Linked DNA regions of Mytilus edulis. The main gene of each other region encodes a partner of the protein of the gene in region 3 in a complex. Links are inferred from orthologs where the notes say so. Each region holds a gene or a part of one and is shown on either strand. Other genes may lie near its edges.

Region 1 (7,654 bases), on a different chromosome or scaffold from region 3:
AGAATGAAAATCTGTACGAGTCTTTTGATGTATAAATATGTCTGAAGGTGTGAGAATGATGTTTTCTGGTTCTTGAGTCTGATGGAATGAGAATTGTGCTAGATGGTATAGCAACAAGTTGATGTGTGATCTTGTACATCATAACCAGTCGTGCACGCAGTCTGCGTTGTGTCAAAATAGGCCAGTTTAGTGTGTTCAGCATGTTTGATACACTACTAGTATTATGATACCTGTTGCAGGCATACCTAGCAGCTCGCCTTTGGACCATCTCTATCTTTGAAATAGATTCTGAAGTGTGGGGGTCCCAAACTGAGCAAGAGTATTCGAGTTTGGGACGGACAAGTGCTTGGTATGCCTGGCTCTTGATGTTTTGGTTTGATGTTTTTAGATTTCTTCGAAGGAAGCCGAGAGTTTTGTTGGCCTTTGATATATTGTCATCTATGTGTTTGTCCCATTTAAGGTTTGATTGTAATGTGATGCCTAAGTACTTAGCAGATGTAACAGATTCTAGTATATGATTGTGGAGAGTGTAATTATGTTTTAAAGGTTGACGTTTAGTTGTTACAGAGAGAACATTACACTTGTCTGGGTGGAAGGCCATCAGCCAGTCCTCTTCCCATTTTGTAGCTGCGTCAAGGTCAGCTTGCAGTTTTAGGCAGTCACTCTGGGATTTAACTGGCATGTATAAGATACTGTCATCAGCAAATAGTCTTAGTTTGCTATGTGTAAGGTAGTCTGGAAGGTCGTTGATATACGCCAAGAATAAGACAGGACCTAAGACAGTACCTTGAGGAACCCCAGAGGTGACTGGGACTGTGCTTGATGATCTTCCATCCAGAACAACTGTCTGGGTTCGATCAGAGAGAAATGCAGAGATCCAATTTAAAGTGTTTCCATTAATGCCAAAATAGTGTAATTTGTATAGTAAGTGACGATGCGGAACTTTATCAAAGGCTTTCGCAAAGTCCATTATTACAAGGTCTGTTTGTGTATTTGAATTGTTTGTGGATTGAAGTTCTTGAATGAAGGAGAGAAGTTGTGTCTCACAAGAACGAGAGTGCCGAAAGCCATGTTGAAGGTCGTACAAGATGTTATTTGATTCGAGATGTTTCATAATGTGTGATGTTACTATGTGTTCCATTAACTTGCAGCAAATACAAGTTAATGAAATAGGTCTATAATTGACCGGTTTATGCTTATCCCCTTTTTTATATGCTGGTGCGACTCTAGCGTGTTTCCAGTCGTTAGGTGTAATACCAGTGTTGTATGATTTGTTAAAAATTAAGCATAGTATTGGTGCAATTTCTGTCTTCATTTCTTTCAGTAAGCGGCCACTGATGTTATCTGGGCCGGTGGCTTTATGTGGGTTGATCTTATTTAAGAGTTTTTCGATCCCATTTGGTGTTATATGTAATTCGCTGATATTAGGATGTGAACTGATGCCTTTGTTTGGTATTGGGTCATCTGTAACTGGGGTAAATACAGATTGAAATTGTTCGTTTAAGAGATTTGCTTTCTCTGTGGCGTCTGTAATGATGTTGCCGTCTTTCTTTAGTGCAGAGATACCAGATTTGTCAGTTCTTATTGACTTGATGTATTGAAAGAGTTTCTTAGGTTTGCTCTGATTTTGTATTTGAATGTCTGGTTCATTAATTGGAAGATCACATATAAGTTTTTCAATATATTCCCAGTAGGCTTTCCTTTGATCTTTTTGTACCTGAGCTTTCATCTTTTTATATTTCTCCGTGTATTCGCTGTTTTTTCGCTTTTTGTAAAGTTTGTTTTTCTTGTTAATTTGTCGTCTTAATTTATCAGATATCCACGGTAATCGATGTTTGTTTCGTAGGATTTTTGATGGAATGTGTTTTTCGACAGAGCTGATGAGTTTGGTTTTAAATAGTTCCCATAGCTCATTGGTGTTAAGAGAATCATAGTTGTCAATGATTGATTTGTAGATGGTACTTATGTCAAGTTTAATTTCGTCCCAGTTGGCTTTGTTATACTTGTATACTTTTTGTGGGGTTTCTCTTATTCTCTTAAGCCAGATGTCTGCTTCGACATAGACAATATCATGGTCGCTTGAACCTATTGGTGGTAGTGTGGTTACTTTGTTGATGTATGTTGGGTTATTAATCATTATTAGATCTAGTATGCGATCATTTCTTGTTGGTGTATTGACAACTTGATGTAGGTTTGTGTCATTCATTATATCTAAGAGATTTTGGTGAAGTTGTATGTCAGGTTTGCCTGGTATTGTGCTTGATGTTGACCAATCAATATGTCCCAAGTTAAAATCACCCCCCACAATAATAGTTGCATTTGATTGACTATTGATACGATTTAGAGATTGATGGAGTTGCTCTAGTGACAAACCTGTATCAGATGGTGGTCTGTAATAGGATGATATTAAGATGTTTTTTGAGCCAGCAATATTGATTTCTGCCCAGACTACTTCACATTCAGTTTCTAGTTCTTTTACCTCTGAACTTATGAATTCTTTTGTGATTGCTATAAGTACACCCCCATAGCTTTGGTTGTTGGTACTTGGTGCCCTGTCATTGCGATACACATTATATAAATCTGATGGAAAGTACTCATAAGAAGAGGTGTTTGGTTCTAACCATGTTTCGGTACCTAGTATGATATCTGGTTTGACAGTATCAATGATTTCTAGTAGGTCCTGTTTTTTGTTTTTAATATTCTTTATAGATAATCTCAAACAACGCAGTTCAAAACACAATTTTAAAAAATCATGGTGCTCAGTGAAAAGGGGCGTGTAAAGTGTGCTTATGAATAATGGTTTTTTATTTACCTTTTCCAGATACTATGGTTTGAATATTTTCAACATGAATTACATAATTAGAATGTGAAAATGCATTAACAGTATCATATTGTCAAATCACATAATTTGGGCTAAAGCTTCAAAATGTTTTCGGCTTGTCTACTTGATCACGAGAAAAAGTTATCGATGAGAACTTCGTCAGTTCCGCCTCTATATTCGTGACGTAGAACACATAATAAGATGTATCAATATTTCAAACACTAGCTTTTCCAAAAGCTTGTCCAAGTATAACATTTATTGAGAAGAATTTTATTAGTTTAAAATCCATGCAATAGGATTATTGTTATATTATCGTTTATTAGACTCCACCTGGTAAAATGTCTCATGATTTGAAAATTAATTTAACGATGTTACAAATTGTAGTACTGAAAATACTGAACATCGGATGACCACAAGTTCTTGTGAATGGTCACAAGCACTTGTCCATCAGAAAAAAATCACATCTCTATAGATGAAAGCAGAGACATACAATACAATTGTATTATGTGTCTCTGCTGAAAATGAGGTTAATGTACAAAGATGTATTTTTTTCTGAGACAAGACAGTCGTGCGTTGATGATGAATAAATGGCAGAGAATTCAACCTCACCATTATTCTATTATATTGTAGTGATACAGATCAGTATACTGGTTTGTTCTTATTTACAGTAATGTAGTACTAGTTTATTTATATTTGTACATGTATATACCAGTTACATCAAGGATTTGTATAGGTCTTAATTACTAGGCTATACAAATCCTTGGTTATGATGTATATATAATGTTCATCCATGATATCATCCTATTATACTATTCTAATAATCGCAGTGCAAGTATTTCAGTGAATGTTGGATACTCTCCTGTTATAATGCGATTCTTATAATAAATTTGATTTGATTAGGAACGTTCATATTTTCACGCAAACTTTCTTATATTCTAATATTCGAGTCGTCTCGAAATATACGTATGTTGACACTATATTGCTTGTAGGTACACAGATGTTCCGTTTGTACGCATTAAAATGTTTTGGCACAGATTAATTAAAAAAAAAAACAACAGTAAATTGAATAGGTAACTATTTATGGTCAATTGCATGATTTTTATTCAAGAATCGAGAGAAATGACGAACAATATATATTAATAGTTCTTCAACAAAAGGAAATAAGAATGCCACGTAAAATATAAATGTGCTGCAACCTAAAAAAAAAAAAAGAAGAAGAAGAAAGAGCGCTTGTTTATACATTCAACGTTTTTAAATGGCTTCTACTCCCGGCTTCTACTTAGTAAGTCTTTTGAATGGACTTAAAATTATCAACAAGTCAATATCTCAATAACATCAGATCAATCGATTCTGTTCTGGACAAACCAATTAATGTCTATTCTGTTTCAAATTCATCTTGCATGTAGTCTGTAGACATATGTAACTGTAAATAGGAATCTAAATTTGTTCGTGAAGACACTGGATAAAAAGCATGAAAAACATAAACAATTCCGTAACTTGACAGTTCACGTCATGGATCTATTTTTTAATTGATTGAAGAAAAGTTAACCTGGCCTTTAAATTGATAGTTGATGTTTTAAACTTCCTGGCCGTTTAACATGAATAATTTGGAATGTATTATTAGTTATAATCAAAAGTAATGGTTTTTGATTCAATATGGATTTTGTTTATTCAGGGTAAGAGTTAAATTTTCCAATTTCAAGTTTAGAACAGACATGCATGTCCAAACGTTTTTATCTCAACAGTTTGATTCATTCATATTTTCGAAATTCAAAAGAAACCAACGGAACACCATATCTTAATAATGTTTCTTAAAATGCCGACAAAATAAATTCGGAGAACTTTTTGAAATTCTAGAGTGTTCTACAAGTCAAGTCTAACATGTATGATGAGTTAGGAATAATTTATTATAATAGTTATTGACCCTTAAGCGTTACTTTATTTTTTTTTAATATTTTGAAATGCTTTATATGTTTATTGCAACGATCTGTTAAAAAGATATATGAGAAATTACCATAATTATATCATGAATACATTATATATCTTTAAACATGTATCTATAATTATTCTCGTTGTTGTGCATGTAACCATAGCGCAGTAATTGCGTACCTTTAAAGTAAATATTTTGATAAAAGGTTAAACAAATCTTTTAATATTCATTCATCTGAAACATTTTTATAATGCAACTTCATATCTTTTAAAACAAATCTACAGTGTGTTTAAAGTAAACATTTTAAAAGCACAATAATATGGCATACTTAATCAGTATATATTTAATATCATTGTATAGGAAAGATTTTTAACCGAGTGCTTCGGTACTGACATACATTACGAAATACCTTTAATGAATTACTCATTGATTAATTGGGAAATAAGTAAGAAACTTAGCTTCAAATTGACTCAGGAAAATTTGATTTCAGGTAGACTTGGCAATTCTCTATAGGTCTTAAATGAGGGCCCTCATGGGGTTTTTGATTATGTGATTACTTGGCCGTTTTTTTAATGATTATTTGATTATTAAGCCAAATATTTCATGATTATTTGATTACCTAGGACTGTATTTTTAGTTTATGATTATTTGACTACTAAAGATAAGCAAATATTTAATGATTATGTGATTATATTGGCAAAAAAAAAGGTGATTATGTGATTACTAGGACCCCTCATGAGGGGCCTCTTAAATCAAGTAATCGGACGAATATATTTATAAAGTGTTATTCAATAATTCGTAGCTTCTGTAGGTTTAGGGATGTTTAGAACTTGGCATAATTATTGAACGAAGTCGATGCAGACCCTCTCAACTCTAAACATCTGCTTATTCAATACTTTGTCCTTAAATGCTTGAGAATGAGTAGGATGTCATTTTCGGCATGATTAATTACATATGACTCTAAAAACAATATGGGACGGATATAGTCATCTCTGCGGTTACTGTTTTGATTGTAAGAATCATTTTTTTTTGCAAAAAATGAAACTGGCAATACTCAATAAAATATGAGTTCGAAGCGCTTCTATAGATTTACATTCGACAGGAACACTCAATGCAAAATATTTGAAAGCCAAAAGGATGTATAATACCGAAACAGTCGAAGAGACATCTGACCAAAAAAGGATATAAAATATTAGCAAAAATAAATCTAAAGTTAACTTTGCTTAAGGTGTCGAAACCTTACTAGATTCTTAATAATTTTTGCTTAATTTAATCACCTTTTCAAATATATCAAGGTTTGTTTTAATGGCGAAAACCATGCGGCCCTCCATCCTCCTTAGATCTTTTAGGGAAATATGATAAGGTTTATCTGATACTGTTTTGTCTGCCAATCTATACATGTCAAAACAAAAAAAATGAAAGTAAAATTGAAAGTAATCTCTGTATATGTTTCAGTACTTCCGGTGTTTGGTGGTTGTTACTACCACTACCAATACGAATACCATGAATGTAATACTGATGTGTAAGTATTCATTAACATACACAAGAATTATCACAGATAATACATATGCATAAGGAATACAAATGAAAAGAATATTTTTTATATATTTTACTTTTCATGTTAATAAAATTGAGAATGGAAATGGGGAATGTGTCAAAGGGACAACAACCCGACCAAAGAGTAGACAACAGCCGAAGGTCACCAATGCAGCGTGAACCTATTAGAAAACATTTATGAAACCTATTTTTCATTTTTTTTTATGAAAACATAGAGGTTATCTCTTGAATTATAATTATATTCAAAGACACAATATTTTCACACACGATTTAAATGCAAATGTATATGAAAAAAACAAGAACATATGTGTTGCTCAGAAAACCGAAACATGAACCTAAGAGTCGCCCTCAATGAAACCAAGGACTTATTCTTTTGAACTGACATTTCTTTTTTTCTATAAATAATGCTTTATCCCACAACTTACACGGATTCTTTTAAGAAAAGTTATCGCTTCGACACACACATCAGACATAAAAAAAATGTCTATAGACTGCTCATTCGATATTCTCTATTTAATATATCTGAATTTTGAAATCGAAAATTGAAATCCACGATCTTAAGTCGAACTTCAGAATAACATATTTCAATAGCAAAAGTGCCCAATCAGGATAAGCCCTTTATTTCCGAGGTTGTAATGTCCGTTTCCAATTTAGTCTTACCCAATACATTGTGCAGATAAATTTAATATTTAAATCAGATCTATAGCCTTTACTAATACAACAAACATGATTTCATTTACTTTTTATTTCATTATGTTTAGAGGAACTATCATTGGTGCAATTATTGGTGCTTTGTTTGGAGTAGCCGTTATAGGGGCTATTATCACCACAATATGTTGTTGTGTTAAAACCAGTGGTATTCGTGGTCACGTGATACAACCAGACACTTTATCAAAACTAAATCAACATCAACATCAACACACGCTACAACAGCAGCGTAAGTAAAAACAAATGATATAATAAGAATCATCATTTTCATGGTTTTACATAGTCTCAACATAATAACGTTACAACCATATTTTTTTTATCAAACAAACTGCATGTTAGGTAAATGTCAAAGAGAGGCGAAAGATTCAAACTCATTGGCAGAAAATAAACGCAATGTTATAATTTCTCATTGTTGAAGACCAAACGGTTGCCTTTAATTGCTTACAACAACTTCATTTGAACATTGGTGTCTACAATAGTTAGTCATGTACTTCAAATTGACTTCGGCATGGCTAAATAAGAAAAATGACAAACAGACAAACAGACAAGCAACAGAACATACACCACAACATAGACAACTTAAAAGAAGCAATACGAACTACCCCGAAAACTTAGGATGATCTCAGGGTGACCAGGTC
Region 2 (7,654 bases), on a different chromosome or scaffold from region 3:
AATCTTAAATGAAATCATGTAAATGTGTTAGAGCAAGCAAATAGAACTTTGAAAGTTTTAAAATAAAAGTCATGATATAAAAAATTATTTAATATAAACTTACAGCCAATTGCAAGTACTTTTAGAAATGAAAACATTATTTTCCATTGTATTGTAACTTATCACTACAAAGATAAATATCAAACCTCAAAACTGTTTAATATTTTTTTATTATACATAGTACCTCATCCATCAAGGATACATGTACCAATTTATATATGGTTATCCAGGTGTACTTACTTTGTCAAATCTATTATATATTTATGTACACTAGAAAAAGCTTGATAAAATCTTGTCAGAATTTCAATGTTATTTTCCCTGAATTCTTCATCCAAATCTTGAAGTTCCTGAAAGAAGAAGAAAACAAACTTTACTTTTCGGACCGAAACCGGTCAAGCTATGAAACATCACCAGGCGCTGTGTATTGGCATATACATGTACTATATTTTTATGCTTTCATATTTTCCCCTGCACCTAATTAATATGGCTTATACTAACGAAAGCTCCATTTGGAGTTAATGTGTTCAGATTAATTATGTCAGTAAACTTTTCCTTTATTGCTAATACTTTTGCAAGAAATCAAGGGCAATTCCTTTCAAATAAAGGCACAAACTCTGATATGGTATAATACATTTTTGCAATAAATAATTAGTACATAATGCCATTTGGATGATGAAATGCCATTTGGATGAAGAAATGGTCAGCTGTATACATGTTTATATAGATATTAGTATATCGTTTTTGTAACATCTGTTAAAATTGTCTTCACTTTTTAGAGTTGTACCAGTTCATATTGCACATAACTATTTTTATTTGAAGCATATCTTTGCTGTCTCTGTTGTAAATACATTGTAGCTATATAACCTACATCATGTTTAATAAATTTTAGAGTTGTACACGGGCATGTCTCTATTATGTTCAGATTTGACTGTTTCATTGTATAAATTTCAAGATTGTTCTAGTTTTATAATCAGAATTGATTGATACAATGTATGATTCTTTTACATCGTGATCTTACTAATAATATATCTGTTATTGCTCATTTTATTGTTATTTTTGGTGATGTTGTACCCTTTTAGACTTGTTATATATTATATTTTGTAGTGTGCTGTATCATAATTATATGATCCATTGCCCCTTAAGATTTATAGTTGGCTTTTTTCAGTCACTTGATATTTTATAATTTATAAATATATATATATATACAATGTACATGTATTTGAATGTATTTAGTGCATTTTCAGACAGATCTTTTCTTCCCTATTTTATGCACAGCTAGGTCAAATTTTATAACTTTTCAAGAAGTCTAAACAAGTGACAACTCTATGACAGATCCATCCATAGGATCATCATTGAAGGTGATACACAGCTGAAAACACATATTTATTCTAATTACTCTAAATACATGAAATATTAGCACAACCATGACAACAATGTTAAATCTGTAAATTCGCTGGGATTCAAAGTCATGCTATAGGGATATCTGGACAACACTACCTGCACTGTGTCCAAAGCTCAAGACCACTCAGCCACCTAGATGAAACTAATAATTCAGCTTTTAGTGGGCTAGTGTTACCTTTCCTCGTCAGTACTGAGTAGAATCTAGAGTTGTAACACAGTACATAATATATTAGACATGAAGATTGAATTGTTTGCAGATTAGCTAAATTTCTATTGTAAATGATCATTATATAAAAGTATACAATGTACTGTATAGAAAAACAATTTCTTGTCTCAAATTTTTTAAATTTGAGACAAGTGGGTCATGATGCGTATTAGTTTCTCCATAGGCGGTAATAGTTACGTTTTCTTCTGTTGCTCAGTCCATTTCGTTAACTTGGATATGTGTGATGGCTCGTTTCGAAGCTGAGACATTTTGACATATGTGGTTAAATTTTCGGGGTACAAAGTGAGATTACTTTTTCCGTAAATTAGCAAACCCTGAGTATCCTTTTGTGATGCGGCTCCTCAAGGTAAAAAATCCCATTTTTAACACAATAATTTCTATGAAAATTAAATACTTTGAACACATTTAATGACTCCATAGATTTTACAAATTTATTCTGTGTTCCCCTTCTTTCTTAATTAACACAAATGGTTAAGTTCAGTCATTTGTTTATCATAAGAAGTGTCAAATATCACTACACAGAGATTTTTTGTTTACACATGACTTTTGAGTTCCTCATTTCAAGGTGCTTTAGTAATATTGTCCCAAGTGCTGTGGCCTAATAAATGCCTAAAATTATCCAAAAAAGTAAGGCAAGTTGGTCTGGAGCGATTTGGCAATGGGGTGAGTTGTCATAGATTTGCATAGAATTAATTTATTAAAAGTGGTCACATACAATAAAGCATATATCTGTTTATTTTGTAAACAATTTACAAGGTAGGCCTAAATGATTATTTCCAATATCTTACCACTTTGGATTCAATCTTATTGTCAAAGTATTCTGCATTTCTAAAGTAACTGAAATCACTAATAATGTCAGCATATTTAACTTTTTCGTGTTGATTTTCCTGTCTAAAAACTGGTGGTATTACTTCTGAAAGTCTCAATAATTCAGCAAGTATTGCATTTCCCCTTGACACAAGGCGTAAAATATTTTGACCACACTGGTTATTTTCTGCAAGGAAATCAGCCATTGCTTGTTTCTGTAATGTTAGTTTGTGCTAAAGACAAGTCGAATCTAAACTCAAATCAGAAAAAAAACATCAGAAGTTACGCCCACTCTGCCAGGCACTCATGAACATGTGACAACCCTCAACCAACTTCAATTATCCTCAGGGTAAGTGCATCTGAATGCTACCGTAACTTATTTTTTCAATATAAAATGTTGTCTACTCAAACAGAAACTTGTGTTTCTACTCTTCACAGCACACTTTCCTTGTCCATTTTGGTGTAAAGAGCAGACAGATAGTCAACATCCGGAAACAGCCACAGCGACACCTATTATCATTAGTAAATTGAGTAAAGTCAATAACCGACCAGAAATCATATACAACAACGCACAGCAAAGGACACAAATATTCAATGTACACATTGTGACCCATGTTTTTAAAGAAAGAGCAAGCACAAAGTAAAAATGACAACAAATAATACAAGAAGAAAATAGAAAATATTAAATTATAGAGAATAATAATGGAGAAAATACAATCTGCAAAAATATTAAATAACTGTAACCAAAATAAATCATATCAAATGACCAATACTCGAAAAGAAAAACCTGACATTTTCCACTAGTAAAAAATTTAAATCTGATTTATACTAGTAGGAATTTTAATGTCACCTTACAAGTAAAGATAAGCACATTCCGACTTTCAAAGAGAATCCTGAAATGCAAAAATTAGATTAACATGAAGTTATTATAATTACAATTGTGGTTAATCATCTGATTGAAGCATACGACTAACTCAATAGGAAAACCTGAAAGATTTTTGACATGATAAGATAGCTGTGAAAATGTGCTATGAGAAAAAAAATGAAAAAATATAGGGTCACCGTACGGTTTGGCTACATAAAATAATGTAAACTTACATTACATAATACTATGCTATCTTAGTTATTTCCCTGATATCACATTTTTGTTTCAAATTCACATCGTTTGAAAAGATTTTGTTTAATTTTTCTTTTATTAAAATTCTCATATTTGATAGATAACCTACTAAAACGTATATCCAAATAATAAAGGGTCTAAACTAATAAATGATTTACAATGTATGGACTCGATAATATGTATCAGCATTTCGTGTGTACTTTAGTCTAGACGACATATAATTAACCATCAAGAAGACTGCTGACGAAAACCTGACATAAACATAAATATAGCTATAATACATTGATAGCGAACACGTGCAATTGGATTTTTCTAGGGTCTGTTTGATTTCATATTATAGGACCTATGCTATAGGTTAAAAACATATGTTAATCGTCGTTAAACAACGAGGAAGTACGTTCACAATGGGTGCCATATATGGAGCAGGATCTGCCTTCCCTTCCGGAGCACCTGATATCCGAATGGCCCCAGTGCAGTTTTTGGTGGTTCGTGTTGCTTAGTCTTTAGTTTGTTTGATTGTGTCTTGTGTACTTGTCTGCTTGTCTTTTTTTCTTCTTTTTAAGCCATGTCGTTGTCAGTTTGTTTTCTATCTATGAGTTTGAATGTCCCTCTGGTATCTTTAACCACTCTTTTCTTACGCTGTATAAGAATGAGATTTTGTATCGAATCCGTCGACAAATTCTTTACCCTTTTATCCTTTTAATAGCTGACCAAGCCTTGTTAATGCGTAACCCATCGCTAGCTAAGGAGTTAAATGTAAGATCACATGCATACGGATTCAATTAGGTAGAATTATTCACTTGCAAGTAAATAATTAATCAGCGATATTTCTTAGCTTATTTTGACCTAATATAACCAAACTGGCTGCTTAAGGCGAATTATTATTTCACTGTTTAATTTTCAAGAATGATTGAAAAAAAAATCTCCGTAGTTAATGCCCCTATAATATAAGATATATTCCTTTAAAAATCTTCAATTTAATGAAGTCTTACAAATAAATACTAATTATGCATCAAATACTAATTTCAAGCTGTTAAAATCTAGACAAATCATTTTCAGCCATTTACAATTAGATATTTTAACTGACTAAAACTGACTTCCAATCTACCTAAATCTGTGTTTAGTTTATTTTCTCCTGAAATTAGAAAACAATGAGAAATAAAATTGAGAATGGAAATGGGGAATGTGCCAAAGAGACAACAACCCGACCATAGAAAAAGCAACAGCAGAAGGTCACCAACAGGTCTTCAATGTAGCGAGAAATTCCCGCACCCGGAGGCGTCCTTCAGCTGGCCCCTAAACAAATATATACTAGTTCCGTGATAATGAACGCCATACTAATTTCCAAATTGTACACAAGAAACTAAAATTAAGATAATACAAGACTAACAAAGGCCAGAGGCTCCTGACTTGGGACAGGCGCAAAAATGCGGCGGGGTTAAATATGTTTGTGAGATCTCAACCCTCCCCCTATACCTCTAGCCAATGTAGAAAAGTAAACGTAAAACAATACGCACATTAAAATTCAGTCCAAGAGAAGTCCGAGTCTGATGCCAGAAGATGTAACCAAAGAAAATAAACAAGATGACAATAATACATAAATAACAACAGACTACTAGCAGTTAACTGACATGCCAGCTCCAGACTTCAATTAAACTGACTGAAAGATTATGATTTCATCATATGAACATCAGGCACAATCCTTCCCGTTAGGGGTTTAGTATCATGCCATCATAACATATATGAGAAGAACATAACCCGTGTCATGCCAACAACTGGTTTTTGAATAAATGTGTTTAGTTCCGATGCAAAGACCCTATAAGTGAATCAATATTAACGCCAAAATATGCAATCTTTAATGACCTGACAACAGTATTGTAACTATATACCTTCTTAATAAGTCTATTCAAAGGTTTTGTTAGTTTTTGAGGTGAATACTGACACCTTTGTGCTTTATAAAGAATATTTCCATAAAAAATTGGATGTGAAATACCTGAACGTATAAGAAGTCTGCATGTTGAGCTATATTTACGAATGATGTCCTTATACCGATGATAAAATTTAGTAAATGTTTTGACTAGTTTGTGATATCAAAAAACCCTGGTGTAATAATTTTTCAGTAATACATAAAGTTCTCTCGTTAAAATCTAAAACATTGTTACATACACGAGCGAATCGTACAAGTTGAGATATATAAACACCGTAAGATGGTGACAAGGGAACGTCACCATCTAAAAATGGATAATTAACGATAGGAAATGAAAAATCATCTCTTTTACCATAAATTTTAGTATTCAGCTTTCTGTTAGTGATATAGATATCAAGATGAGAATGAGAAAGTATGCAAAAATAAATTATTCTTTACATAAGTCGGAAACATCCTTTCGGAAAAAGAAACATTATAACTTTAAGTTGGAAAATTAGTTTACAAGGTTTACAAATCTAATAAATTAGACTTTAAAACAGTGCAACACGCTTGCATTATTCAAAATATTAACGATATCAAAATGCATTTATAAGATTTCCTCTATAAAGGATCATATTTTACAAATCATTATTCAGAGTATAATCCTGTTGACGTTCGTGTTCTTAAAATCAATTCCACAGACTATCAGTAAATTCACAGAGTCAAGCATGTACAAAATAAACTTGGGTGATGATTGTCATTAGGTTTCCGTCTGTAATTGTGCAGGAAAATGTAATATTCTTCCTTGCTAATGTCGTAAAGCCAACAATGTTTGTTCAACAAGATGTCATCAACAAATTATTAACAAACTTGGTTATTAATAAACTGGGGTTTTTTTCGAAGAAGAAAGTATACGTTATAGATGCACATCTGTTTTGTCAGAATTAGTTTGTAGCTGTATTTTAGGTTAAAGTAGTAAAAGAACACTAAGAACTGGTAAATATCGGTAGTTAGATGGTGTGATTTTAAAGTTAGTCAATCTTGGACGTCATTATCAAGTAAATGAATGTCGAATATATTATGTTATGTCCTTTCATGTGTCATTAAAGTGCAACATACTAGTAGCATTATACACATTCTAAGTCTTACTATATGTCATGCTCGTACTTATTTTCTAGTTTTGACTTTGATCTTTGTATTATTGTAACCGAATGTTATAATTCTCTTGGCTGAGGCGCCTTCAAAATGTAAGTTACTAACATCGAAATATAGATATACTGATATATTGAAACTACATTGTATCTAATAAGAATTAAGCTTCAGATATAATAAAGATTATTGGATTTCAAATTAATTCATATAATTTTTCGTACATAAATGACAGTGAATTATAAGCCTCTAAAGGCTGGTTGGTATAAATATACATTCCTCATTTCATGCATTCTCAATGTTATGTAAATTGACTGCTCATGTTTAAAATTGTAATATATTGAATTTCATGTATAAGTACCAAGTTGTACTTTAAAATCAAAATATATATTTATCTATCAATAGAAGACAGTTCAGGAACAAGATAAATTTGAAGATAACAGACATATCTGCTGACAACTAACAAAACAGACAAACGCTCGTTTTAACGGAGTACAATACTGTGCTCTGGGTGGTAGGTTCTTCCCAGTGTTTCGATAAACGAACCAGAGCTCCCTTTTCATCCCCTTTCTACCCAAAAGCACAATAAGTCGACTCTAGGTTGACGAGTTATGAATATACATATTCTCATTTGTTGTTATCTCACTAACAGAGCATTCTAGGAAGAATAACTACAATTTTCCTAACTAGCAAGGTCGCCATAAATAATTGATTGATTATTTTAAAACAGTTTCTCAGATTCCCAACTAACATGTGACATTTGTATGATCCAACATATTCACGAATACTTACATCTAACATTAATGCCGATGTGGTGATAGTCCTGACATTGAGAATTACTATTTGAAATGACTTTGTGTGGTGGATGATGCATGCATAGCAGGGAATGTTTTACGTGTCTTTGCACCTGGCACAAACTATGTACTCCCAAGTACTGAATTAAGTTATATGACCTAAGGCCTGATCTGGTTCCGTTAATTATAGGTTCGCTATATTCCACTATCATGTT
Region 3 (7,243 bases):
TGGAAAAAAATATATTTGAGGTATCCATGGGGGTCTGCGGAATTCAAAAAGTGGGTGTTATAGACTCTTCCTTTCTGTTCTCTGTAGATATTTGAACTCTTTTTTGTTTGATTTGTTGAATTAATAATAACTTGAATATTATATTTAAGTCAAATTGATAACAATTAAAACTGTCACAGAATATTAGTTCCATCATAATATTTATTCCAAAGATAATTTATTATGTAACAAAAGTTCCAATTGGAATTATTGTTATGTGATATTTATTCCATAAGCATAATAAAAGGACCAATGCCTCAGAATTTTTATCATGTAAAATAAATTCCAATAGGATGTTTTATAACATAATGATTTAATTTAAGATGTAACGCATCTTCTGATTGGCTGACGTTATTTTGTTATGAGCCCATAGACATACTTTAGTCATGTGACCGTAACGTCATCAACGTTTTTTCATGGTTTTCTACAGTTTAAAATGGAATTTAGAATTAAATTATAAGAAATGACTGTAATATTTTTTCTGTCTATTCGAAATAACATAAAAAATGTGGTGCACACTGTTAAATAACCCGCTATGCGCGTTATTCAGTGTGCACCAAATTTTTTATGTTATTTCTTCATAGACAGAAAAAATATTATAGTCATTCCTTAAATAAATTATCTTTGGAATAAAAATTATGGTAGAAAATTCATCTTATGACTTGTATAACAGTTTGACTTTGATCATTTTGACTTTTATCATTCTGACATATCACTCATTAAAATGAAAAAAAATCTTATGTAGTCATTATTCCGATTGGAAAAAATATTATGCATTGCAATATATATTATATAATATCTTTTCCGACTCAAAAATATTATTATATTCTATCCATTAATAATGCCGGATTGGTAAATTGGTATTTACAATTATTATCTGAACAGGTATCGTGAATATGGAAAATAATTGTTCCTGATCTTGAAGATATTAAACAATTAGTTGTGAATTATCCACAATTACTGGACATATGCATTTTTAAAAGAACATAAATGTTTTCTCATACTCATCAGCCTCTGTGTTTCAGTATAAAAAAGGTGGTGTACAGCCGAATATATATATCCAACTCATTAACACTTTTCTTTTTACATGTAATCCTATAATTAGCATTTAAAACCTGTTTTGATTAAGATTATAATCAGCATTTAAAACCTGTTTTAATTTATATAATAATCAATCAGGTGTAAACTAAACTTCAGCATAATAGGAACATTTGTTATACTCATCAATATATAAGATAAGTTCCTATTATCAGTGGAACAAATATAATACAGATGGAAAAAGTTTTCCATGACACAATTTCCGCAGAACAAATATTATTATAATATTGTTTCCATCAGGAACAAATATTATTAGGAACAAATATACGTTGACAAGACAAAACAATAAACTTTTGGGGTGTTCGGTGGTGAAAAGACCTACCATACATACATGACATGTCTGTTAAATGTCAAAAAATATGTATTAAAATACTTCCAGATTTTTTTCTGTATTGTTTATTTTAGAATGTTTTGTTTGATGATTATGATTGTAACATTTGGTAGAAAAAAATGAATTCAGTGATATACATGATCATGATACATAAAGAGTTAGACAATTAACATGATCACTAGAACACACCTGCGAAATCGCGGGCATTCAGAGCGGAGTTAAAAGTATGTAAAGTGTTGTTAGAAGTTTTATACCTCCTCCTTCATTTTAAAAATTCCCAATTTTTGGTTTTCTCTCAATTTCAATATGAACATACATTTAGTATGTTATGAACATTTAAGTAAGGAGCCTGTAGTTCAGTGGTTGTCGTTTGTTTGTGTGTTACATATTTGTTTTTTGTTCCTTTTTTGTACATAAATAAGGCCGCTAGCTGTAAATAAATAAGGCCGCTATTTTTCTCGTTTGAATTTTTTTACATCGTCATTTCGGGGCCTTTTAAAGCTGAGTATGCGGTATGGGTTTTGCTCGTTGTTGTAGGCCGTACGGTGACCTATAGTCGTTAATTTCTGTGTCATTTTGGTCTCTTGTGGAGAGTTGTCTCAACATGGCAATCATACCACATCTTTTTTTTTTTTGTAATCAATGAATTTTGTAAAATATTTAATGAATGGAGAATTTCAGAAAAGGTATCAAAAGGTTACATGAATAATTTTAGCGCTTATCTGTATATTACTATATAAATAAAGTGTATTTACTTTCAATTCTTAGTTTAGTAATCGATCCATGGTGGTCAATTGACATAATATACAGACCCTCTCCATTTAATAAACTCTGAACAGAATTAAAATACACTTTATTCGTACTATTTGTTTGTTCAAAGTATACAGAAAAACGCAAACCAGAAGTATAATCTGACTTAAAATTTCGTCCAATGACGGGACAATATCCGGATGCCTTTTTTCTCGTTTTTCTCCCAAAATAACTCAATCTGAATAATCATATGAATGGATGACAAATGCGACTATGCACTGTACATATAGGACACAGAGTCGTGTTGATTAATTTATTGTGGAAAGAAGAGAAGCGACACCAAAAATGAGGTCTTCTCGTTTAATAGTATAGAAGATGATGATTAGTTGTATTTGAAAATGAAAGTTATAAATATTTCCCAGTTTAAAGGTTAAATTCATCAAGTTCATGATTATTCCTTTTAACTAGGATGTAAGTTTAAACCTATGGATGTGTATTGTGATCATTTGTAATAAAGTTTTTGTGGATATAATTTTACAATGTCAACAAAATCTGACCATGTTCATGATGTTAACAGTTGATTTATGAACCTTAAAATATGATCGGTGCAATGTCAGTGTTTACATATTGATACTAATGTTTCCTCATATTTTTTGTTTACCTCTGGTTCCATTATAATATTATTTTGATGTATTAATGATTAAATGTGGGTGTTCATCTATTTGTATTTTTCCATTTCCTGTGGTCTGTCACATGATCACAGTAAATTATCTCCCTTTAAAGTACATATTCTCCAGTCCCCAGTGTATCTTCCTCCTAATTACACGGACCACCATGGTCCAAGATACCACTGTTAACTCGAATATGTCTGCGTCCTCTTTCAGCAAAAAGTCTCTTGCCATAACTTTTTATATTTCTTTGTTTCAACCGAACATAATTCAAATAGATTAAATTTGTTATGTTTGGTTATTTAAGGAATGAATGTAATATTTTTTCTGTCAGTATGAAGACATGAATAACATAAAAAATTTGATGCACACTGAATAGATCTGAATAACGCGAGTAGCGGGTTATTTAACAGGGTGCACCGAATTTTTTATGTTATTTCGAATAGACAGAAAAAATATTACAGTCATTTCTTATAATTTAATTCTACATTCCATTTTAACCGTAGAAAACCATGAAAAAACGTTGATGACGTCACGGTCACATGACTAAATGTCTATGGGCTCATAACAAAATAACGTCAGCCAATCAGAAGACGCGTTACATTCAAAATTAAATTATTAATTTTTAAAATATCATAAGTTTTGTTCAAGTTGATAACTTGATTTGTCTCTTTGACACATTCCACATTTCCATTCTCAATTTTAGGATAAGGAATCTCGCATGTACGACAACACGCAGTTTTACCGTGACATGTCACAAGTTTAAACAACTAATATCATCTTTTATTTCTTCATAACAAAGTTTTCCTTTGAAATAGACACATTCTTAAGATTTTCTGATTTCAGTGACTTTATAGGGCTTTATTTTGACTGGGACTATTATATTATTCTTAGTGTATATTAAATAATAGGTCCAGATTTTGCATGTGAAAACTTGAGGTTTCGCACGGGAAAAAATTATGACGACAGAAAAAAACCTACCCCCTTTGAAGTTAACTTGATATGGTTGCTGCCTAAAACACATTTTTTTAATAAAACAGTCTACTCAGTGAGCATGGTGAAGATCACAATTTCGTGTCTGATCAATACGAATAATTTCAATTATTAAATACAAAAATGCTGCAGTTCAAGTTCTTTTCATGGATATGTCAAACACATATTTCATAATTAATTAGCACAAAACCTATTTACATTTACAAGTTTTACATTACAATTTCATCAAAATGGGACCTCATATTAGTTTTGACAACATTTTTATTAAAATGTTGTCATTATATGGAATATAAGCTAGTGGGGTTTAGGGGTGACACACTATTGACCTAAGACTGTAGTAATCCTTAACAATTTGATCAATTTCCAAATTCTAATGATATTTTTATATCATTGCGATACAAAGGCGTTCCCTAGTGATCAATATTTTATTTATCATAAATATATATATAGAAAACAAATAGTTATGGAAAACAAAAATAAACATCCGTATATTTATCAAAATCAAAGTTTTGTCTAACTTATTATAGTATTCTGGCTTTTATCTTGGTTAACAATTGACTAAAAAAAACATAATTTATATATCAATAGATTCGTCAATCTAACATGCTGTTAAAAAAATCTGTGCTTTTATCATTTAGTCCTATTTACATTTCATGGGACAATATTAAGTTTTTGCATTAACCTCTTGTGAATCGTGATTCAACAGCCCCTCTTGATTTGAATAAAACATTGTTTATATGGAGTTTTTATATACCAGTTTTATGTTCTGTCCTTCCTTTCTTTCAAGGGTGACTGGGGAATAGAAATATGGTCACTTGGTCTTCTTCCGACCGGCAGTAAAACGCTTGCCGAAGTGGGGCCTCCGTTTAGCTGTGCGGGATGTATCAAGTTCGCAGTCATGTCCGGTCAGACTGGGGACGTTAAATCCGATGCCTCATGTAAGGAGAGTGCCACGCTCTTTGTACGTTAAGAACCCTTGCAACAACTCTTTGAGGGGCCCGTAGGTGGCCTGTTGCAAGGCAAAATTTCTGTCCCTATCAAATATACCCTCATTTTACAGTGGCAGTCCAAATTTCCCCGACCATCATCCCAGATGGCCTCTTTTATTTCAAGACCTACCTATAGTATTTATTGTGATCTTTTTCTCGTCCTGAATATGCATGAAATATTTGCCACTGGACGTTAAGCAACCAACAATCAATCAATCAATCTTTTTTCTTGAAAATATGATACAATTTTTCCTACCGACAATTATTTCAGGATCGTAATTTGTAAGTTTTTACACAAATGTGCGCCCTTAAAGTTTTAAGTCAAAGCTCAAATTTTCCCTTTGCTTGTATTCGGTAAATTTGGCAATTGTAAGTCATGACTTTTTCTAGTGGTCCTGTGCAAAAGATCACAGTCAAAATTCATTACATCTGCATCTAATAAGGCCGTTAGTTTCTCGTTTGAATTGTTTTACATTGTCTTATCGGGGCCTTTTATAGCTGACTATGCGGTACGGGCTTTGCTAATTGTTGAAGGCCGTACGGTGACCTATAGTTGTTAATGTCTGTGTCATTTTAGTCTCTTGTGGACAGTTGTCTCATTGGTAATCATACCACATCTTCTTTTTTATATTGCCAATCATGGAGCCGGGAGATATGCGGTGATGTGATTTGATTTGAATTTATAAATATTATGATAGTCAGCGAAAAAAATATATTAACTTCTGAAGGGTGTAGTGCATTGAACATTTTACTGCAGAGTCTTTTAATCTTAAAATTTTTATCGACATGTTTCGTTTTCATTCTTACGAAAATACATTTCCAAAATTAACGCGTCTTGCTAGTCTAACGTCCATCATTTCAAACTTTGTAAGACAAAAATATTTAAAAAGAGGGGCGTAATATACCAGAGGGACATTCAAACTCATAGATCGAAATTAAACTGATAACGCCATTATACCAGAGGGACATTCAAACTCATAGATCGAAATTAAACTGATAACGCCATTATACCAGAGGGACATTCAAACTCATAGATCGAAATTAAACTGATAACGCCATTATACCAGAGGGACATTCAAACTCATAGATCGAAATTAAACTGATAACGCCATTATACCAGAGGGACATTCAAACTCATAGATCGAAATTAAACTGATAACGCCATTATACCAGAGGGACATTCAAACTCATAGATCGAAATTAAACTGATAACGCCATTATACCAGAGAGACATTCAAACTCATAGATCGAAATTAAACTGATAACGCCATTATACCAGAGGGACATTCAAACTCATAGATCGAAATTAAACTGATAACGCCATTATACCAGAGGGACATTCAAACTCATAGATCGAAATTAAACTGATAACGCCATTATACCAGAGGGACATTCAAACTCATAGATCGAAATTAAACTGATAACGCCATTATACCAGAGGGACATTCAAACTCATAGATCGAAATTAATCTGATAACGCCATTATACCAGAGGGACATTCAAACTCATAGATCGAAATTAAACTGATAACGCCATTATACCAGAGGGACATTCAAACTCATAGATCGAAATTAAACTGATAACGCCAAGGCTAAAAAAAAGGACAAAAAACAACAGATAAATAAAAGTACACAGGAAACAATATAGAAAACTAAAGACTAAAAAACTGGGGGGATCTCATGTGCTTTGGAAGAGTAAGCAGATCCTGCTCCACACGTGACACCCGTCGTGTTGCTCAAAAAAGTCGAACCTACCAACTACTTGTTGCACGGCAGTACAATGAATGAAACAGTTGACTTTACTAAGTACATGGGAGTCGCAACAACATCAAACATTTCTGGAACAAACATATTGAATCAATATTTTATTTTTAAAAGCATACAGGACATGCTATGGAAATACATAATGTATGACACAATGTGACAAAATGCTGATAGCAGAGAATAATACAATAATAATATAGCTCATCAATAATATCAGATCTAGCTTAATTAATTGTAAGCGATCTAGAAGTAGCTTTCAACCAACAATATAGTTTAAAAGTATTAGGCCCTGGACAATATTAACGTGGTGTTATTTTCTTTTTATGAAAACAAGGAGAATATCCATCTAAAGACAGTGTTCCTTTGGAATGCACATCTCCAAATAAAACACCGCGCTGAAGTACGTCTATTATTCATAGTTCATTATTCATTATTCAATAATGAATAATGAAATAGTTCACTATTCACTATTCAATATTAAAAAATGAATAATGAATAATGAAATAGTTTATGTTTCATTATTCAAATTGAAGCGGTGAATAGTGAAATAAATATAAAAAAAATTGACTGTTGACACTAAAGCTATATTTTGATTCGCAATGACCATAAGAG
Region 4 (6,926 bases), on a different chromosome or scaffold from region 3:
AGATGGACACACTGAGTCGGATTATCAATGAGATAAATAACCAGGTAAAAATCTGCAGGAAGACACATCACCTAAGCTGGACACATTGTTCTGGCTCCAAGGAGACCACCCACTGCTCTTACTCCTTAATGATGCATCCTAATTAAAGAGCAGTAAAAACAAATTCAAAATCTTTCTTTGACACACCCAAATACCTCTTGCACACCAGACCACTAAGGAGTAAAAGACAAACCTTGGCCTCTAATAAATTCATTGATACTTCCAATTCCTGAATTCTATTTGACATATGTTCTAACTTTTCTTCACACACAGAAGAAAATCTGTTGAGAAATTTAGCTGTATGTGTAACAAAATGGTTTATAAATGCAACAATTCTCTTCTGCTGAATAGCTTCCACCTGAAAGAAAACAAAAAGTATTCTTTTTTAAAAAGTATTCTTCTCTTAATATACAACAAATATATCAGTACAAAGTCTTCTATATGTTTTAAAATAAGAATCTCCACATGCTGTTTATACAAATGTAAAGATGTTATGAAAAATTCAATATAAAAAAAGTCGTCTATATTTCTGTATATGATTTAAGAAATATATATACATCAGGCGCATAGCTCCCTATACGCTAACACGCAATTGCGTGCACATTGATTCAGCAAGCAAAAAAAAAAATGCCAAAATAAAAATTTATAAATTAATTATGGTTAAAGCTAAAAGGAAACACATACGTTGTCACTTTTTTAAATGATGAACTGTCATTAAATAACGGCATTTCAAAACAAACGTTTTATTGGAGATCATGTAAAAATCGGACAGTAACTTGTATCTTTTACCAGATTTGAATTTATTATACTCAGTCTAAGACGTGTAGTTTTGGAGTACATTTTACAAAGTAAGGTATCTGTTTGCGATGCGATGTACCAATCGACCATTAGATTTATCGAAACCCTTTGATATTATTGAAAATATGCCGAGGCGATGTATTCGACAGACTACCAGAGCCAATCACCCTGAAAACACGCCAAAACAGCATTGGAAAGTCTCATTATATTTTGCGTTCACACACGTAGACCATATGATAATGGAATTGGAGAGTAGAGGGTGTCTGGTATTATCAGAAAAAAGCTTCTTTGTGTCGTATCTGCTTCCTCGTGTTGTAGGAAATATAACCAATGAATAATTCTCAACATTGTCTGAGACATACAAAATGACCTGGCATGTATTTGGCGGACAATTTCAATCTGGAGGTCGCTCGATTGAGAACACGTATGTTGGTTTATAACATCTCGCAAGTGCTACCATGCAGATCTATCAGTGTATTAAGTCTATTGAAAACAAATGTAAGATCAACAATGAACAACGACAGGTTATCATCGCTAGCATTACTGCATATTGATCGGGATTTCAGGGTGAATGTTGACAAAGTAATAGAGAAGTTCGTTTCTGCTTAGACCCGAAGAGCAGATTTTGGTCAATCTTGAGTAAATTCTGTAATTCAAAAATGTGTTGTTTATGTATTAAATTAACCATGATTTACTCTATTCAGAAGATTCAAGTATTAATAGGTTTACGTTCATAAATTGTTTATAAGTCCTATCTACATGTAGCTCCTCTCTAAACCGTCCTATGACCGAAAACCGAAAAAAAAATTTCTGCATTAAAGGGTCCAAATTTTTTTTAGCCGTAGTTGCTTGCACATCGTTTTCTTCTAGCTACGCTTCTGTAACAAGATGTCCAAATGACATTGAAATGTACTACCGCTGGAGTGAGCGCATAAATAATTTTTGAATAAAGAATAGGTGCAATTTAATTTATATACAGGTGCAATTAAAAACATGTCATTTAGATCTAATGACGGAGCTGAGCCTTGAAAGATTGGTTTCCCCTCATATGTTTTTAACATGTTTTACAAAAGGAACAATGTTTGACAAGGGATTTTGAAAAAAATAATGTTTTAAATGAAACATGAACTATAGGCACTTTTATTTTCTTCACATCTCAATGAAGTTCCAAATATCATGAATATGATTTGGATATGTACACCTCTTGAGACCATTGAAAAATGAATGTTTGTTTCCCCTTATGTGTGAAATATTTTTTTGATTTATAGAGAGTATTGTAAGGGTTTAAGGGATGAGTGTTTTTTTTACATATGACCTTTTCTGGCTACTCATAATCAGTAAACACTCACTTCTACTTTTACATTCTTTCTTTACTGTTAACCAACACGTATACACTGACATTTGATGAACATTACATACACTTTTATTGTTATAATATGCAAATATTGTTAGTTATATATATAATTAGATCTCTGGAAATATAGTCTTGAGATTACTCTGATGGCAAACGGCTGTTTTGCCAGACAAGCTGTGAAAACTGTTTAAATATGGAAAAACAAAGTGTGGCAGGTAGGTGAAGCTTACATAAATGAAGAGATAAATGAAAAATGAACAAATTGATACCCTATTTATATAATTCCAAGGCTGTTAGTTAGCACCAGAAGCGACGAAGCAGCGCATCTATTTTGGACAGGCAAATATCCACTTTTTGATATGGGACGAGTTTTGACATCCGACGACCCCAGCTTGTCTGGCAAAACAGCCGTTGGACGTCTGAGTAATCTCGGACTACTGGATATAATGATATATAGAGTTTGTCTTAACTGGTTGACCAGGGAGGATCCCCCACTAAAGGGAAAAATAAAGTTACTTACGGGGAAGCAACTTCTTCAACCTAATAGCCTGATATCTGATTAAATGAAAGATTTTTTTATTTATTAACTGAACACTGATTTTATTTAGCTCAACTGTCATTGGCACTAAATGACAGTAAATTTGTGAGTATGTATGACAAATGATTTCTTTAAGACACCTTTGTATAATCAACACCAGGTCCTACAAGAGGCAATCCATCTGAATCCATTATGGAGTGGAATATCAATTTGTTTGGCAGTCAGGTGGTATGGGTTGTATTTTTTTTTTTGGCAAAGTGAAACCGGAAGTAAATTTTCGATTACGGGGTGAATAAGAAATGACAATTAAATAATAAAATAAATATTTAAACTAATTTTATATTTCACTTAACTTTATAATATCTGTTTTTGACCACAAATATTATATGTGTGTTGTAATTCTATTTTATTTTTTTCAAAAGTGCGGGAATGACTTGGTGAATAACTTACTTCCGGTCAGTGCTCTTGCTGAAATTTCAAGTGACAATTCCTGAAATATACAGCAATGAATAGTGAACCGTCTTTAGAGACGGTTTATCAAGCTCTCCAAGCCCTTTATCAAAATCCAGACGTAAATGGAAAGGAAAGAGCATCAGTTTGGCTCGGAGAACTGCAACGTTCGGTAAGCAAACTGACCCGACTGCTGCCCCCCTTCCAGCAGTAGACTTCTGTTAAACTTGTATTAAAGCCCACTAGTACGATACATTATAAGATGCCTGTCTAATGATATCTGCCAATTAAGTTATAGCTATATTTCAAATCGTTCAACCGCTTTGCTTTTCACGTAAACAAAAAATATACATTATAAAAGATAATCATACCTCATTCTGTATCTTACTATCTCTATGTATAAGTTGATGATACAAATTCTAGCTTTTATTCAGAGAAAGAAAGAGATACCTATTGACGTCATTTCAATGGTGATGTCTCAGTCATACAACTGAGCAGACGTGCTTGGTCAGCTCTTCTTTACCCTCTATCTTAGTCCGAGATTACCCTGACGTCCAAAGACTGTTTTACCAGACAAGATAGGGCCTTGGGACGTCAGAGCTCGTCCCATATTAAAAAGTGGATATTTGCCTGTCCAAAATAGATGCGCTGCGTCGTCGCTTCTGGTGCCAACTAACGGCCTTAGTATTATATAAATCGGGTATCAATTTGTTCATTTTTCATTTATCTCTTCATTTATGTAAGCTTCACCTACCTGCCACACTTAGTTTTTCCATATTTAAACAGTTCTCACAGTGACCCATCGATTTCTGCATTTTGACATTCATTTTCAGAGATTATCATGTGACCACGAAAACGTATAAATATTTGCATATTTGAGTCTATAGGTCGTGAAGTTTCTCGTAACTTGATGTCCTTTTGAAAATAAAAGTAAAAATGTCTGAATCGATGGTTCACCTGGTCACTGTAAAAACTGTCTAATTATGAGAAAATAAAAGGTGAGAGGTATGTGAAGCTTACATAAATGAAAAATGAACAAATTGATATCCGATTTACAATGTACAGTTCAATTTTCGCGAAAGCCATCCCAAACTCCATACACCGAGTTTTTTCCTGGTGTGACACCAGGAAACTCCGACATCACTCCCTAAATTCTCGGAGAAATTTGGGAGTATTCCCTCCGACTTCCGCATAAATCCGTTACCTTTTGTTTATTGTATTAGCGACATCTCTCCCAGTCTGGAGTGACGCAGTGTCACACCAGGTAATAAATTGCCCTAATCCTTCTGATCTATGCCGGCACGCGACAGTCAAGGTATGCGAGATTTCTAATGTAATTAAACAATTGTATTTCCTGTCTATTGATTATCAGTTTATATCTGATTGCTTGAAACAAATAAAAGATTAAAATAAAAATCAAAACGTTGTTGTTAATTCTTTTAATTACTCTGTACATCTAAATCAAATTGATTTTGACTTTCGTTTTTTTATCAGTAAATAAATATTTAATTTACTAAAAGAGATATAATTGTGTAACAATAAACGGAGACTAACGCTGAATAAATTAGGGTAGTTTAAAGAAAAGTGACACGTCTCAAAGTTTTTTATACAAGTATAAAAAAAGAAAATATTATTCACTATCTGTTATGCTAATAAGTCTACGCCATTTCCATTTTACGATTACAAAATAAAAGTTTTAAAAAGCAAAAGGTTGTTGTTATTAAATGCTTTCAATTTCATTAAAGTTTTATAAAAAAAAATCTATACTTGATTATGACCTCGGTTTTTTTTTTATCGGTAATTTATATAACTTATGAAAAGAGACATACTTCATTGTGTACTTGCGTGAAAATAAACGGAAATTAACGCTGAAGGTATAAAATGTGAGAAAGAAAGAAAATTACGTGTCTTAAAACTTGTATATGCAAGAAAAAAAGAAAATACTTTTCACCATTCCTTATGCTTAAGAAGTCTACGGCATTTTCTCTTCACGATTTGTTAGCATTACTTTAGGATAAATAAAACATTTCGGCTACAACAGGAATACTTCTATAGCTGCATCAACTCGTCGTTGCATAATATTCATTTACGCACAATGAATGTAAACTTTTGTGTTGTATTTAGAACAGTGATCTTTAAATATTTTTAAAGCAATTAATTGCCGTGGGAAGACACGCATCTCAGTGATCAACAGTGCGTAGTTGAACTTGAACTTGACTTTGCTCACAATATTGAATGCTAAAAATAGTGACATCAATTTTGTCCACAAGATTTTTATTTGGCGGGAAATAGTATCATGTAACAGTAAACTCAGGTGACCTTTCTGGATAACCGTGGGAAAATTCATTCAAGGTTTAAACTAGCTTTGTAATGATTGACATAAATTTGTGTGCGTTAAGATTGAGGCTCTAGAAGGTACTTTTACAATTGATTAACCGGATTCTAAATTGTATTCCTTTTCTGAATTAACCAACATCAGCCTTTTATTTTTACGTTTCTCAGTCAACAGAGGACATAAAACCGGACATTATTTATACGTCCATAGTCAACACTATATATTAATGGTAGATGAAAACAGGATGCATGTCGTTCAGTTCCTGATGGGCGTTGGTAGAGATCCTCTGTGAAAATTTGCCGATCGTAAAAATCCGCTCCACATTTTTTTTTTACATATTTCTTTCTTGTAGAACACGATATAATTTCATTTAAATATTCTATTTTATAATTGTTGAAATACTTCTTTTTATATTTCGCCGAGGACTTTTAAACGAGCTGTAAAATACGGATTGCGCCAATCCAATTTTATTTTAAATAATTAAAGATCAATAACAGATCATAACGGATAAAAAACATGATTTTTTCTCTCCATATAATTAAATATTTAAAGGTTGTGATTATTGTGTTGTGTCTGGGCGGCGAATGTATCTCAGTATTTATGAATATAGGGCTGCCACATTGCATACAAAACTATTTGTCACTTTACAGTTTCTTTTTTAAATTCAAATATTTCAAGTCGGTAATCTACCGAGGTAGTGAAACATAATATTTTACGTTTCAAAATAAATTGTAACAGAGTTCACTTGTTGATCCGATAAATTAACTCTTGGGTTTAATTTAGATTGGACATATTACCGTAAAAAACATCATTTTGTTTTAAGCCAGTTGATATTAATTATATAATATTGAACTATTAATGAACCGAATGTTGCTCACTGAGTAGGTCATAAAAGGTTCTAATTGTGGTAAAATCGTCTTTGTTGAAAAAACAAAATTATGACCTGATCGGACTATAATGAAAATACAAAATAAGTGTTTTAATCGTATATTTATACGTTTGCACGTTGTATGTCATATGACAATGACATGGGCATATACATACAAGAATAATTATCTTATTTTAAATAAAAATGTCACACTTTTATCTGACAATGAAAGGACATTTAAATAACGTATTTTAAATCACTCAGGTGCAATCAAGATCGATTAAATGTACAAAGGTAATAAATCTGGCTAATCCGATGATGTTGTCACGCGTCAACTCATTAATTTTCAGTACATCTGATGGGCAATAAACCAATAAACAGCCACACGGTGTTGGGAGAGAATCTTTGGAGGAAAATGGGAGTATAATCCGTGATTCGCGGTGTCACACCGCTACACTCTGAAATCGGTGATTAGAGTTCGCGATTACATACTCTCTGGGCGTTCTGTATATAATTCCAAGGCCGTTAGTTGGCACCAGAAGCG

Evidence for each region.
Region 1: WASH complex subunit 2-like (region 3) and WASH complex subunit 1-like share a complex: the UniProt entries of both Drosophila melanogaster proteins name them as parts of the WASH complex. The link is inferred for Mytilus edulis from reciprocal best matches to the Drosophila melanogaster genes FAM21 and wash.
Region 2: WASH complex subunit 2-like (region 3) and WASH complex subunit 5-like share a complex: the UniProt entries of both Drosophila melanogaster proteins name them as parts of the WASH complex. The link is inferred for Mytilus edulis from reciprocal best matches to the Drosophila melanogaster genes FAM21 and Strump.
Region 4: WASH complex subunit 2-like (region 3) and WASH complex subunit 3-like share a complex: the UniProt entries of both Drosophila melanogaster proteins name them as parts of the WASH complex. The link is inferred for Mytilus edulis from reciprocal best matches to the Drosophila melanogaster genes FAM21 and CCDC53.

Annotation. Positions count from the first base shown.
Region 1 is NC_092344.1:31,573,204-31,580,857, forward strand, and holds the start of WASH complex subunit 1-like, read right to left. Parts: upstream 3,003-7,654; 5' UTR 2,813-3,002; intron 1-2,812. Other genes in the region: uncharacterized protein, read left to right, coding at 4,461-4,497, 6,207-6,273, 7,070-7,245. UniProt on the Drosophila melanogaster protein: Acts as a nucleation-promoting factor by activating the Arp2/3 complex to induce actin polymerization. Participates in both linear- and branched-actin networks.
Region 2 is NC_092344.1:109,308,179-109,315,832, forward strand, and holds the start of WASH complex subunit 5-like, read right to left. Parts: upstream 3,007-7,654; 5' UTR 2,680-3,006; coding exon 2,455-2,679; intron 387-2,454; coding exon 280-386; intron 1-279. UniProt on the Drosophila melanogaster protein: Acts at least in part as component of the WASH complex which may regulate wash nucleation-promoting factor (NPF) activity and is required for its membrane targeting during endosomal sorting.
Region 3 is NC_092355.1:16,253,633-16,260,875, reverse strand, and holds the start of WASH complex subunit 2-like, read right to left. Parts: upstream 3,003-7,243; 5' UTR 2,892-3,002; coding exon 2,880-2,891; intron 1-2,879. UniProt on the Drosophila melanogaster protein: Acts at least in part as component of the WASH complex which may regulate wash nucleation-promoting factor (NPF) activity and is required for its membrane targeting during endosomal sorting.
Region 4 is NC_092353.1:26,958,030-26,964,955, reverse strand, and holds the start of WASH complex subunit 3-like, read right to left. Parts: upstream 3,009-6,926; 5' UTR 2,921-3,008; coding exon 2,870-2,920; intron 398-2,869; coding exon 233-397; intron 1-232. Other genes in the region: transportin-3-like, read left to right, coding at 3,235-3,351. UniProt on the Drosophila melanogaster protein: Acts at least in part as component of the WASH complex which may regulate wash nucleation-promoting factor (NPF) activity and is required for its membrane targeting during endosomal sorting.